Linked DNA regions of Arabidopsis thaliana. The protein of the gene in region 2 interacts with the protein of the main gene of each other region in a pairwise test. Each region holds a gene or a part of one and is shown on either strand. Other genes may lie near its edges.

What was found. The genes of interacting proteins can lie anywhere in the genome.
Region 1: the proteins of AT1G54770 (region 2) and AT5G22310 interact in a two-hybrid assay, tested with the Arabidopsis thaliana proteins (one large-scale study listed by BioGRID).
Region 3: the proteins of AT1G54770 (region 2) and AT1G06510 interact in a two-hybrid assay, tested with the Arabidopsis thaliana proteins (one large-scale study listed by BioGRID).

The regions. Positions count from the first base shown.
Region 1 is NC_003076.8:7,382,533-7,387,752, forward strand, and holds AT5G22310 (trichohyalin-like protein), read right to left. Parts: upstream 3,302-5,220; 5' UTR 2,814-3,301; coding exon 2,385-2,813; intron 2,302-2,384; coding exon 2,209-2,301; intron 2,134-2,208; coding exon 1,210-2,133; 3' UTR 1,051-1,209; downstream 1-1,050.
Region 2 is NC_003070.9:20,432,195-20,437,188, reverse strand, and holds AT1G54770 (Fcf2 pre-rRNA processing protein), read right to left. Parts: upstream 2,640-4,994; 5' UTR 2,387-2,639; coding exon 2,175-2,386; intron 2,095-2,174; coding exon 2,034-2,094; intron 1,957-2,033; coding exon 1,879-1,956; intron 1,793-1,878; coding exon 1,680-1,792; intron 1,480-1,679; coding exon 1,374-1,479; 3' UTR 1,028-1,373; intron 898-1,027; 3' UTR 736-897; downstream 1-735. Other genes in the region: AT1G54773 (uncharacterized protein), read right to left, coding at 406-437, 530-566; AGL85 (AGAMOUS-like 85), read right to left, coding at 2,792-3,277.
Region 3 is NC_003070.9:1,990,378-1,994,891, reverse strand, and holds AT1G06510 (forkhead-associated domain protein), read right to left. Parts: upstream 2,664-4,514; 5' UTR 2,504-2,663; coding exon 2,347-2,503; intron 2,186-2,346; coding exon 1,986-2,185; intron 1,869-1,985; coding exon 1,432-1,868; intron 1,349-1,431; coding exon 1,309-1,348; 3' UTR 1,051-1,308; downstream 1-1,050. Other genes in the region: GPAT1 (glycerol-3-phosphate acyltransferase 1), read left to right, coding at 1-722; AT1G06515 (transmembrane protein, putative (DUF3317)), read left to right, coding at 2,924-3,008, 3,377-3,449, 3,929-3,941; AT1G06500 (uncharacterized protein), read right to left, coding at 4,306-4,514.

The sequences.
Region 1 (5,220 bases), on a different chromosome or scaffold from region 2:
AAGGAGGAGACAAAGAGATAAACCACACACGAACTTGATAAGATCATCACTCTGACAAAATATCTCCCTATAATGCGAATGTTTTTAGCATTTGACCTTTCTCATTCAATGAGAGAAAATTAGTTAGCCTAGTGGCACTATATTATGCTTCAACTTTAGTAGTTTTATTTTGTTATACGAGTTAATGATTTATCCCTAAACTATGTAAAAGTATGAAACAAAAAAAGAAAGACAAACTTTTGGAACCCAAAACCCCTTGATTTGGTTTAATGGTACATATATATATGGTTCTAAGCTAAAATATTATATTGAGTGGGGGACATAGAGTAAGGCTGATTGGTATATGCATATATCTTTCACACGAATTGACCTATTACCTAATCATGTGTATATATGATCGAAAAATGAAGATCCGTTATTGTTCGTTATTGTTCATGTCATCTTATTAATTTTTGTAACTTTTTTGGTTGAATTGTTACCAAATATTCCCAAATAGGGTAAAACGTAACGGATATATAGTTGAGACAAAATCACATGGGAAGATGGAACGATGCTGTCCAAATGTCTAGACAATAATAGAGAAAATGTCTTGTTTCGTTTTTGATTCAAAATCTTAAACTAATCCTTTCTTGAATCAATTATATATCTCATTATTGTTCGTTCTTATTCTCATTGTTGTACTAATCATTATGATTTAATTTACACCAAATCAACGTTTCCATGTGTATATCTTCAATGCCACCAATAAATAAGTTCTTTAATAGTTATATACAATGTACAATTCACCTCCAATTCATTCCAAGCATGATTTGTTTGGTTTCCCCTTATTCTCTACATCTACATTATGGTCTAATTAGAGTTAGTTACAAACATAAAAACTCGTACGTAATGAATTGTTGTTCTCTAAAATAAGCACTTAAGTTCCGTAATAGACTTCAAATTCTGACAAATCACTTGATTACAAACTTGAAACTTCGATCATAAAAACGGAATATTTTGATAGAAAATGCAAATAATGATTTGATTGGATATGTGTAGTAAATTGAGGTTAAACCATTGTAGACGAAAAAATGTGATATACCGGCAAAAAATATTCCGTAATTGATTTTGTATTTCAAATTAAATTGAATAAATTACAAATACTGAAATATTATATACTATAAAAAAAAATGATTTCTTTTTCTTCCTCGCCGGCGCTAGCGGTGGTGATTACACAAACTCAGAGCTTGGTAAATTCCGATGATTCCACTGCTCTGACGATGAAGGACCAATACATCTAACATTTGAAACAATGTAATCTCTCAAAGTCTTCAAAGACTCATCTCTCTCACCATTCTCAACAATCACTGATCTCTTCTCCACCGGATCATCATCATCATCATCGCCGCCGGAGCCATCAAATCTCCGACGATCTTTCAGGCTATCAACATAACCCCATTTACTACCACTCTCCATGTTCAACTCAATGGACTTAAGATCACTCTCCTCATCATCATCAGAACCAGAACCATCAATCACCTCCAAAATCCTACGAATCTCCGACGACCCTTTTCCTTCTTCACCATCCAAAACCCGCCGGAGCTCCTTCTTCAGCCGCTCCACGGCGGCGTATTTATCTTCGAACTCAAACTTCGCCTCCGTAAGCTTCATTTGAACTCTCTCTTCCCTCAAAACATCAGCTATATGCATCATCTCTCTCTCTTTCTCCATCTCCTTCTTATCATCTCCGATTCCTTTAGTTAGCTCATCACAAACCTCTTCAAGAACATCTTTAGCTCTCTTCTCTCTTTTCATCTCCTCCTTCATCTTCCTCTCTGTTTCTTTAGCCTCCGTGAGCTCTCTCCCTAATCTTCTATTCATCTTCTCTGTTCTTCGCCGGAGTTTTCTCTCAACCATCGCCTCTTCTTGTAGACTCTCTATCAACCTCCGCTTCTCCTCTTCCTCTTCATCTAATTCACTCATTAGATGCTTTAGTGAAGATCTTGCTCTGTCTAGTTCACATAACAAAGCAGAGATCAAACGATTGCTTGCTGTCTTGTGATCATCTCCGAGCTCACCGATCCTTTTTAATACCTTTACCAGTTCTTTAGACGTTGTTAATCCGTCACTGACATTCTTGAAACGAGTTTTCACCTGTAATATAATTAAGAATCAGACCTTTCTTCTTCCGCAAGAAAAGTGTTTTTAGGGTAAGATTGCAAATCATACCGAGTTTGCGCCAATGATTTTGTATTCAATTGGGTTTAATTTCTGAGGATTTGTTGATCTTCTACGAATCATATCGTCACAGAGATCGATTCTCTGTGCAATTTTGATTTTTCAGACTTAGAATTTCAGAAAGAAAAAAAACACAGAGGAAACTTGAAACTGAAGCAAACCCTAACCTCTGAGCTTAGACGAGAAATCGGATCGGATGATCGTGGCGGGAAATCAATGGAAGAGAACTCTGTTGATTTCTTCGCTCTGTATCTCGATGGTTTCTTGCTTCTCAAGCAATCTTTATCAGAATTTACCGGAGGGTCTGCGTCGTCGTTGATTTCCCACAGCGTCGCAGCTAGCTTTCTCGCCGACACGCAGCTTTTCTGCAATTGATGATGATCTATAGGAAGATTTTCCGGCGAAAACGATAACAGAACTGGAGTTTTAGCGGCGGTGATGGACTTAACAGGAGTTCCTGAGCCACCGTCGTCTTGAGCGGCTCTTTTCCCGGCGAAAATTGCACGTTTGAAGCGGTTTCGACGAGCAAGTGAAGAAGAAGAAGAGGAAGAACCACCTCTCTTCCTGATCTTACAACCTTTCTTCCGTTGTTCCATAGTTGATATTCAAAACAACAAATCAGAACACAAAATTTTACCAAATCTTGCCGGAAAACAAGAGAAAAAAATAGGATTGAAATTGGTGCTTTTTAGGAGAAGTGAGTCATCTTCTAAGATCAGAAGCAGTTTCTGGAAGATTTTGTTTTTGAATCTCTAAATAGACTTTAAAGTGAGTGAAAGAGAAAGATAATACAAAAAGTGAAAGTTAAGATGATGTTTTTACTTCTTCTTAAAAGCAAAAGAAGAGAAGAGTAATAAGATTCTTGATCCCTTTGAAGACGTTGTGATTTGTGAAAAAGAAGTTTTGAATCTGGGAAATTGTGTTTTATTTTCTTGGGAGAAGAGAGATGTTGAAGAAGAGGAAAGAAAGATGGAGACAGTGTGGTGTTTTTGTGTTTGTGCGTTGTCTATTTGGGCAATGTAAATTTTCTTTGGAGGGTTCATGAACCGATGTTGTCCAATTTCGTCATTAATTTTAACAAAAATAATTTCATAATCAATGAGTACAAATATTGTTGCCGCTAACTCATTAATGCAACAATGACTTGCAAAAAGATATCATGGAATCCATGTTTCCAAATTAGTGCTTTCTAAAGAGTTTAGAATCTTTAGACCACAAGTTAACCTGGTTTGATCGGATTAGACAGGATTCTATTAAGTTTTTGTAGGCTTTTCTGGAGAAGAAAAAAAGAAGAGCATCAAATAAAGACAACGTACTAGATTATCAAAACTAGCATTAACCTCTATGCTAACGTCAAAAGCTAACATGTGTTTTCTAGAACTTGCCAAAAGTCGAACAGAACACGGGTTTAGGTCACAATTTAACCTCGTTTGATCGGATTAAGACCCGACTCATTTCGTTTTTGATTAGTATTTTTTTTTTGGGAAATAATATGAACGTCAAAAGAGTTAAAGACAACGTACTACGTACTACTATAAAGTAGCATTGTTTTCAACAAACATGAATATGGGTGACATATTTTGAAATAAATGAATATGCATAGACAAGGCAAGATACATGAGCCAAGAAAGTATACTCCTTTTTTCTTATGTTTTAGGAAAAAAAATTGTATTGAATTAGATGATGTTTTTTTATTTTTAATGCAAAATTGATTAGTTTTTATTGATTTTGACGATTTATATCATGCAGATTGTTCAATTATGATTGAATAGTGTTTAGAAAGATAATATATAGTATTTTTGTTTAAATGCGAATATTTGTTATACACAATCCAAAAACACAAACAGAAATATAATTATTATAAATCATTTTCGTTTAGGATTGAATAGTTCTTCATTTTATGTTTTAGGATTGTGTTTATAAACTTATGGCTTTTGTCTAGAGAGGTAGGTATTAAGATCAATACACTAAAATTTTACAGACAGTTGTTATAAGTTATTGGAATTGTCGCACATCGAAACTTTGACAATTTTGACACTAATATATATAGTAGATGTTCAATCATTGCTAAAAATCTCTCATTAAACAATCATAGTTACACAATGAATACATGGTTTTAGATTTTTGGATTCATAAAAAAAAATATTGCTGCTCTAAAACATATAGGATTTTTTGAATGTAAATCAGACATAAAATTTCCTAGATGCCTTAACGATTACTACTATCCAATCATAATTCACAACTCAAAACCAATGATTGTCTCTATACTAATTTGAACACAAGTTTTGTGATTGGCATATGAATTATGAAAGACAGGCACATGCTGAGTACAAATAATAGTAAATACTTATGGAACATCCCAAAGAGATAGATGCCTTCTCTGCCAGTCAAATCAAATCCATCCTCCAGATTCTTTTAACTCCATTACAAATAATTTAACATATTACTAATTTAAAAATAAATTAATACGAGTAAAAAAGAATTTTAAAATGTGTGAAGACTAGAGAAGTGCCACGATGATAGAAGAAAAATACAACATAGATGAACGGTTCAGATTAAAAAGAGTTCTAGTCTGTTTCTCTTTTATTCCTTTGAGTCTTTGACTACTACTCACATATCACATGGAGAATTTGACAAAAATGTCATATCACTATACTTTTATTCAATATACTAACTACTCTTGCAGCAGCAATCTAAACTCTACTTTAAAAACGACGTTCTTTTTTGTCAAATAAGCTAAACTAAAAAAATATCGTTTACAATATACAATACATACTATGGGTAATTACATACATTCAATACGGGTAGATACGGACATTTTGAACTAGCAAATCGGTTTTAACATTAGCATTACAAAACAAACATAGGAAACAAAAGAAGATGACAAAAATTTCTAACTCTTCTCTACGTCTTCATAATATATCACAAATGTAGACCACATTTACACCTAATCGGAATAGTCTGCACTAAAATTAATTTAGTTTTCTTTTCTGAAATCAAAAT
Region 2 (4,994 bases):
CTTGTTTACGACTATCAACTCTGTAGAGAGCCACTTTTTTTTTTTTTTGTAAATGTTAAAGAGAGAGCCACTTTTTCCCCTGCAATCCATAAACCAAATCAATCAAGCTTTACTTCAGGTTTTAGATTTCAAAACCAAAAGAAGAAATTTATGTTGTATAGAGACCAAATGAGCTTCATTAGGTAGAAACTAAGAAAACAAACGATTTACAAGAACAAGGTGTAGATTGGTGTAGATTGCAGTCACAAATGAATTGTTGTTTCAGATATCGGCTCGAATTAGAATCGTGGGATTCAAGTTGGGCTTACGTTGCATTGCAAGCCCATTTCATTGGCCATGGCCTTCAGAGAGGATGGTCTCAGTTTTGAACTCTCTCTCGAGAGAGACATAAGAAATAAATCCGAATCAATCAAGAAAACGGGGACTCGGTTTAGACACTGCCAAAGAATGTGACCAAATCACTTGAGAAAATGCTACAAAGTCTACTAAAGAAGACTTCTCTAACAGAACAGAAAACAAGATTACTTACAGCAGATGTAGAAGAACGTTAGAGGAGTCGGTCTCATCGTGTCTTCTCAAACTAGCGTCTCTCTCTTTCTCAAACTGCCTGTAATCAGCACTCTCCAAGAAACTGACTTTGTCGAGATACTTAGTAAGAAATTAGATTCTAACAACACCGAGCCAATACACAGATTCAAAAAAAAAAAAAAAGCAAGCTTAAACAGTTCAACTTGACATAGATTTAAATCCTACACACACAATTCATCTTCTTAATTCCAAAGAGCTGATATAATATCATAGAACAACGCCGAGCGAAAACAAAAATTCAAACAACTGACCTCAATCTTTCCCCTGCTCGAAGCAGCTGCAGCAATACTCTTAGCCTCCTCATTACAACTATGATTCAAAAGAAGAAAGTCACATAATTTAGATCTTGCTGAATACCAAAGTTTTGCTGTGCTGACATAAATATGTGTGGCATGGTCAGTGCCAGATGACTCAAACAGGGAGGTACTATGAGTGCTACCTGAAAGTATAAAACTCGATGCTCTCGTGGTTGGACCCTGCAATTCTGCAAAAGGTGTAAACTAGGACTCAATTTCAGTCTTGCTGAAACAAGTTTCCCACCTAGTAGCTCTAGACAAGGTTTGGTTTTGGATATACATAACATAAGCACCATAAACAACAAGAGTTATTACAGTTATCAAAGGTGTAACCAATAACACAAAATCCTTTAAACAAAGGCCATAAACAACAAGAGTCATTACAACCTATATCACCGCAAGAAAGTGTATCCAATACTATGACCATATTCTATTAAAAATAGAAAAAATGTGTCCCAAAACTATGATCATACTCTTAACAAAAATAATTCAGTTCCTTCTTGGCTTTGTGTTCTTAGACTGGTTTCCCTTTTTATTCCATTTCTTATTCGTAACAGCTCTACTCTTCTCCTCAATCTCCCTAACTTTACGCTTCCTGTAAAACCATAATCAACACAAAAACATTCACTTAACAAAGATTGCACATGTGCTATATGAATACAAATTCTCAAAAATACAAATTCTTGATAGAATAGATAAACCACACACTTATTTTACTTACATCTATCAATAATACTTACAGAATTTAAGCATTTCCTATACATTGTTTCTTAATAGACAATGGTAGTAACTAACCTGTAGAGAGCAGTTTTAGGATCTGAAACCAACTCATCAGCAAGAGTTGCTTTTCTATTCTTCTTTGTCAATCTCCCATAAAACTCTTCAGCTGGTTCAATTACTGTACCAATCTGTTTTTTTTTTTACAACAAAAGTTTGTGTTAAGACAGAAACCGAAAGAGACGGTTATTCTCTTTGATCTAGTTCTGAAACTTGCCTGGAAATATTTTTCAGCTAGTTTAGACCGTGACACAGATTTCTTGTAGTGTAGAGCAGGATCCATTACAGTTCTCAACTACAATAAAGATACAATTAGAATAATGTAAGGACTATGGAACCTAAAACAACAACAAAAGCAAAAGAATCTATTACCTTAAGCAACTGAAGATCTCTTTTCAACTCAGGAGTCATTGTTGGAGCAGGCATATCAAACCTATCCACAGTTTGAAGAAATACAATTTAATCACAAGCCGGATCAAACTAATCCGAGTAGAGGAGATAAAGAAGAGTTACCAGTTAGAACCAGTAGTGTCTTTGAGTTGTTTTCTAATCATCTTGTTAATCTTCCTTGGATCATTAGGTGGAAGACAAAGACCATCAACAAGCTCTGACTTAGAACTCTCAGCTGTTTTGCTTCTGGTTGAACCAGTTTTCAAGTCTAAGGATAAGCCTGGAAGCTTTGGTTCCCATTTAAGACCGATCAGTGGTTGTTTAGTCTCTGCCATTATTGTAAATTGCCTTTGTTCTCTGTGACCCGGAAACAAAAACACTGAAACTTGTCGAGAACTCGAAGAATCAGCTTGTCGAGAACTCTTCCTAAGCTGTAGAAAGTGAAGAGTAGTAGAATTTTAGTGTTAGAGATCAATGGAGATCGACGGAGATGAAGATTGGAGATATTAGGGTTAGAGATTGAGTAGATGATAGATCACGAATTGGGCCTAATGGCTGTAATGGGCTTCTTTTATGTATAAAATATTTCAGTTTCATTAATCCATTGCTGGATGTTGTAGAAAACAATAACAATTCATAATGTATAAAAAAGAAAAGACAAAAAAAAAAACATAATTCTTAAGACTCAAAAATACTTAATTAGTAATGATCTACTAATTAAAATCTTAATCATTAATGGATCATTTGTTATTATTCTCAGCATCTCCTCTTTGGATCCTTGCAGCAGCTTCATTACACAGTTTCTCATAGAGCCCTTCACACTTTTCCATTATCTTCTTCGCCTCTTCGTGATCTTCCACCTCCTTTGGATCCACTTTCCACCACGCATCCTCATCTACGGGCATTGTCTCCGCTAATGCAGCTGCCTTCTTTACTTTGGCTTCTTCCGTCTTTGCCTCCTCCACCATTCTATTGTATACTTTGCAAAGCTCTTGAATCTTCGCTTGTTGGTGAGCATTCATGACCGATCGTTGCAACGATGATGAGGCCTCACGATTGAGAAATCGCTCTGCCACGGCTTGAAAAGACGGACTGCCGAATGTGTATGGTTTTCCTGAGCAAGAGTATCCGAGAAACGCAACTTCAGCACCACAGAGAATGGAAAGCTCATTGCTTATTGTAGATTCCATTTCGACGCTTAGATAATGTGACCAATCTGTCTTCATCTTTTTCAATTTTTTTGATGTTAATCATTTGCTTTCCTTTGGTTTTCTTGGGATTCATTTTGGAAGAAAACAAAAATATGAATTGACTATAAAGAAAGGAGAAATTTAGATTAAGTATGTGTTTCTCTTTTTTTTTTTTTTTTTGTGGGTGCAAGATTGGGTTTATATAGATGGAAAAATGGTAGTAATTTAAATTGCATAAAAATTAGTCAATCTGTAGATCAATGTTTGGAAGTTTGGTAATCTTTGTTGTTCGCATAGTTAAAGGTTATAAGGATTTTTGATGTAAGGAATTTGACTGTATGATTTTTAAATTAATTGGTAAAGACTGTGATTGTATGAACTACAATTTTAAATAACTACCAAATATGTGGGAGAATAGATTTTAATACAAAAGGAAAAAGTCAATTGAAAGTATTTTTTAAGAAATAATATACGACTATATGTTTTCGGAGTTTATATATATGGGAAGAAAAAAAAATATTATAAGTTGTTATTTAATTATTTCTAAAATTATGTTTACGTGATTTTTTAAGAAAATGAAAGCAAAGAGTTTTCGAAATTTATATATATATATATATATATATGGGATAGAAGAAAAAAAAAGAAATTGGTAGGGGACGGGGAGATAATGCCTCCCCAAATTTATTCATAGCAACATACAAAAACTTAACAAGCAACAACATGCCATCGAATTGCCAAACAACGGGCATCATCCGACAAAAGAGAACATCTTGGAATAGTATCTAAAAAGTGAAAAACTAAATTTAAAGAAAAAGCATGGTTAGCTAATTCATCCGCAAAACGATTATCCTCCCGGTAAATATGTGAAATTTTGATATTCTAATCCTTTGATATAAAGCCATGTCACAAGCGTAACAGGAAAGACAGCGGATAAGTTTCACTAACCCTTATCTTCAGAAAACCAACCACTACTTCCAAATCCATTTTAAGTTCTAACCGAGAAACTCGTTTTCTACATGCGATGTATAGGCCGTAATAAACTCCCCATAAGGAGGTGACTTCCTTTTATTAGGCTTAACATTTCCGTTATCAAAACGTTTCATGCAATCTCCTATACTTGAAGCTTTCCTAGGGAATCAACACGGCTCCTACTCTAATTTTTAACTCAGTTTTCTTATTGCATTTCAATGTTTTGCGGACCACAAACTTTTTCCCTAGCTTTTGTTTTCTTCTCCAAAATTCAATGTCTCGTATCTCAACCCGTCGAAACTTTTCTTCAGTTCACAAGAACTTTTAAATATGCATTGTATCTTGGGGTTATATGTGGCGTAAAGGCCTGTGACCTGTCGATTGTGGAGGGAAATGGAGTCTATAAATGCAACCTGCAATCTTAGAATTTTGACAACATTAATGTTCCAATTTTCAACAGACAGCTATATATGGACGAATGACCAACAATTGGACCGATCAGACAGACTCGTTTGCGTTACATTGCCTTCTATCTTTTCACCTATGTTTTCCTTATTTCTTAATTACGAGGGTCGAAAAGATTTTAACTAACACCAAACTAAGTTCGATTCTAAAACATTAAATGATGAAACATTGAATTATAACATATGAATTGTGGCCTATTCCACTAAGTATCATTGCTGAACTAGTAAAACTCTTAGCCGAAGCTTAAAAATCGTCAGTTCGATATTTTTGGAACGAAACTAATATTACATGTTGTCGTTTCGTGTCTGAGAGGATTACG
Region 3 (4,514 bases), about 18 Mb from region 2:
CTATCGGATTTTTACTCGCTGTCTTCAGGATCTCGGTAGGAGTCTTTCTTCCTTACCATGTAGCCAATTTCTTGGCTTCTATGTCCGGTGTTAGGATCACTTTCAAGACCCATAATTTGAATAACGGTCGTCCAGAGAAAGGTAATAGTGGAGTCTTGTATGTATGCAACCATAGGACCCTCCTCGACCCAGTTTTCCTCACCACTTCGCTGGGCAAGCCCTTGACCGCGGTTACTTACAGCCTAAGCAAGTTCTCCGAGTTCATAGCACCTCTCAAGACGGTTAGCCTTAAAAGAGATAGGAAGAAAGACGGTGAGGCAATGCAGAGACTATTAAGCAAAGGAGATCTAGTGGTTTGTCCGGAGGGAACCACATGTAGAGAGCCTTATCTACTAAGGTTCAGTCCTTTGTTCGCTGAGTTAACTGAAGACATTGTTCCCGTGGCTGTAGATGCTCGAGTGAGCATGTTCTATGGGACAACTGCGAGCGGGCTCAAGTGTTTAGACCCTATCTTCTTCCTCATGAACCCTAGGCCGGTTTATTGTCTTGAGATTTTAAAGAAGTTGCCAAAAGAGATGACTTGTGCAGGAGGCAAGTCAAGCTTTGAAGTTGCGAATTTCATACAGGGAGAACTTGCTAGGGTTTTGGGATTTGAATGCACTAATCTCACAAGGAGGGATAAGTACTTGGTTCTTGCTGGAAATGAAGGCATTGTCAGATAAACTATTCCGAATTTTCATTAGTTTTTTTGTTTGTTTGAAAAGCTAAATATTATTGTTATTTCAGGACTTAGATGTTTAATTCTATATGGTTGATTCATTGGCATCATTTCTATTTCTTATCACTCGGGACCATTGATATGTATTGAAAATGTTTGCTTTATATGATTTTGTTTCTGGATTTGTATAGTCCATAATCTCAACCTGTCGCTTTAGTGCCATTAATTTTATTCCTAGAACAAATGAAATGATTTCAGAGTTAGTTGAAATCAATATTAATTGTATACATCTAATCTAATAGTATGTTATTCACTTATTATTTACTTAATGATGCTCCTAAGTATTGATATCACATTAATAATCATGATCCCATATCACAACAACATTAACGTGAACGACCATATTAACTTCATATCACATCAAAATTTAATGTATCACCTTAGAAGATATTAATATTCACACCAAGAAAATGACTATACCTGTCTAAACAGAATGATTAAAGAAAGGAAAATTGCTAGATTAACTTTTCATACCAAGAGTGGCTTCCTTTCTTTAGTTCACTGCGCTGGTAAGTAATGCTTGAAGCACACTAACTGATGTTTGCCTCTTTGCAAATGATATTTGCGATTCTACACAAGCAAAACAAAACTTAATGGACTGAGTAATTCTGCAGTGTTAGAAGTAAAACTTAGTGATGCTTTGAATGCATTACCTTTCCCTCACACGACGAATCTCTTCAAGAATTTCTGCAGTCTGCTGAACCTTAAGATTCTTGGGTTTATCTTCATGATTAAGCACCAAGGATGCAACATTTACAACAGTAACTAGTTCAGCTTCGATTCTGCTAAGTTTCTGGTCTAAATTTTCCAAGAAAGATTCATAAGAAGACACTTCTTTCAGGATGCTACCTATTGAAACATCTTCTAGTACATTATTATTGGTATCAAGAAGTTCTTGGTAATCCTCAACATTCCTTTCAATAAGTTGAATTCCCTCAGAATCCAAGTGAGTGTGGTCATTTTCGACCCCGTCTTCAGTAGATTCGGGCTTTGGCGATACAATGTGGATACCACCTGAAGTATTCTCTCCATCCTCTTCGAGATCCAAAGATATATTGCCTATCAGCTGTGTTTCCTTGACAGATATTGCCTGAAACCAAACCAAGCTTTCAAGACATAGTTAGATAGATTTCTGGGGCAATTGAAAACAAACAAACAACCAAAACAATAACATTTCTTAACAAGTAAGAGTATTGTTTGTTTGTACCTCGTTAAGTTTGGAAGAAAGCGTATCGAGCAACTCGATACGAGCTTTAGCCTTGTCCAAAGCTTGCATAACTTTTTTCTTCTGAAGAAGTAGATCTCTGGCATCATTCTCTTTCCCTGTTCGAACATTGACAGCTGCTTGTTCCCGTAGATTCTCTGCAGCCTCAGATAATCTCAAAAGTCTCAACCTATTACTGTTTGCTGGACCAACAACAACAAAGACCAAAAATAAATCAAATTGACATCATCAATCACTGGATTCACAAGCAGTAAAACCATGCTGAAACCAGCACCTCATCTTTCCAAAGTCTACGACTTTGAAATCACACATTAAAACGAAGATTAGCGAATAAAGATTCCACCTTTGGCACGAGTGGACTCTGCCTCCGCGTGAAGCCGATCAAGCTGGGAGCGAAGAAGGTCAGAATTTGCGGTGGCAGAGAAGCATCTCAGGCTCGTTGGAATCCTCCGAGACTGAGCAATCACCACCGGAACTCCGCCGATGGTCGTCGTCACCATGTTTGGTCTTCTTACAAAGCGCACACGTTCTGTGACATTGCAGTCTCCGTTATCCGGTTAGTTCTACAAACCGATTTTGAATACCTGGTTCATCTAAACCGGTAATTAAGACTAAACCGGGGTGGGAAAATGAATTGAGGATGAGATTAGTATTTACCGTGACAGAGTTTTCCAACTTTGACGTCTCCGTCAAAATTTGATTTCTCTTCTGTATTTGACGACGACACTTCAATCAAAATCTGGAGTCAGATACAGTTCCCTAGATCGAGAATCTCCAGGCGCTTTGTAATCCTGTTTAGTATATCTTTGTCAAGTTCTCTGTCAGAGATTTACCGGGTAAATTTTGAATCTTGGATCAGGTTTTTGTCAATTTCAGATTTGTAATCTCCCGCTTCTTACTGTAGGAATCGATCAGAAGATATGAACTGGGTTCAACGCAAAATCTACCTTTATAATGTCACATTCGGGCTCTACATGCTTGATTGGTGGGAACGATACCTCTTCAGTATCCTTTTTTCCTCACTCTATCCCTCCATGCTTCATTCGTTCTCTCCATCGATTTTGGTTTATCTGTGCTCCAATTTCGATTTACCCTTTCATTAGAAAGATGCAAGTTTTGATTTTTACATCTTTGGTGATATATGGTGGCATTGTGTTCTGTTCTCTTGTGTTGTCGTCTTAAGCATTGTGTCTGTTCAATTTTAGAATTTTGTTTTTAAAAAGCTACTTTCTTAAAATTTTGTCTTCAACTTCAGAGTTTGGATTATAGTCTCTACTGAATAATATACTGTCAATTGAGATAATTTTTTGCTAGTTTACAAGGACTTAAGATCTTTGCTTGCATCTTCTTTGCCTTTCCTCAACTCTTTTCAGATTCTTTGGTGGTTGTTTTGATGTGGTTCGTTTTATACAACGGTACTCGCTACTTTTCGGAGCTTTTCCAGAGGTAAAACACTTGATGATGCTCTTTGCGCACACCTTAAGCTTGTTAAGGTTTCCTTGACACTAATTTTGCTATTGTTGTAACAATTTTTGGTACTTATCTAGTTCTTTTTGCTACTTTGGTCTTATGGTTTCATTAGCGGGTTTCTAAGTGATGAGTGTTATGATACAATATGCTGTTTGGCCTCATCTTCATCTCTGAAACAAGTTTCACGGTTTCCCATGATTCGTAGTATATGTTTTCACAAAAGGATAAGTCCATCATTTACTTAAACATTATCCTACCTTCTCTTGTGCATTTAGTTAGGGTAGATATTAAGCCTCCCCAGAAGGTGATTGGATTGGAGTTAGAGAAGTCTTTAGTTTGCCTGATGGACTTACTGCTGCTGCTTGCTATCTGAATCTTATTATGCTGATTGTTCGAAACTTTTGAGAAGCAATTGAAGCTCTTTCATGATAATTTCTTGTATCCTCGCATTGCAGGCATTTGACATGAAAACATGTCTTGTTTCTCGCACAGTAGAGCACGAAAAGCCTAGATCATCCAAAGGCATGTACGTTTGGTTCCAATTTCTGAGACGTATACCAGCAAAAATCCCTCTTTCGGCGTCACCTCTGTTTTTGTTAATTTTCCTCCAAAGGCTCTAGGACAGTTCTTATGTCTCTATATTATTTGTTCCCATGTTTTTGCAATTAACAGAAATGATTTTGTAGACTCGTAAGATCGCAAGTCTTCCTGTTGTATTTCCAGTTCACTTAGAGACATAATAACATAGTTGCAGGAGTTAATGAACTTGCGGATTACATATAACAGAGCATAATTTTTAAGAGGGAGCTCTGTTCTAAATCTACAAACGAACTTAGGAAGAATCAGGGGTAACCCAATCCTTTGGCATTGCAGAGTTGAAGATCTGAAACAGCAAAGCTTGATCTCTCTTGCCTGGTCTTTTTGAACCAAATCCTTGATGCAGACCAAGTTCAACCGCTTCTCTTCCTTCTTCCGCTATTCTTTTCCTAATAGCTACCAAAGAATTTTGCGTCTCATCACAAGCTGCTACATGTCCATTTT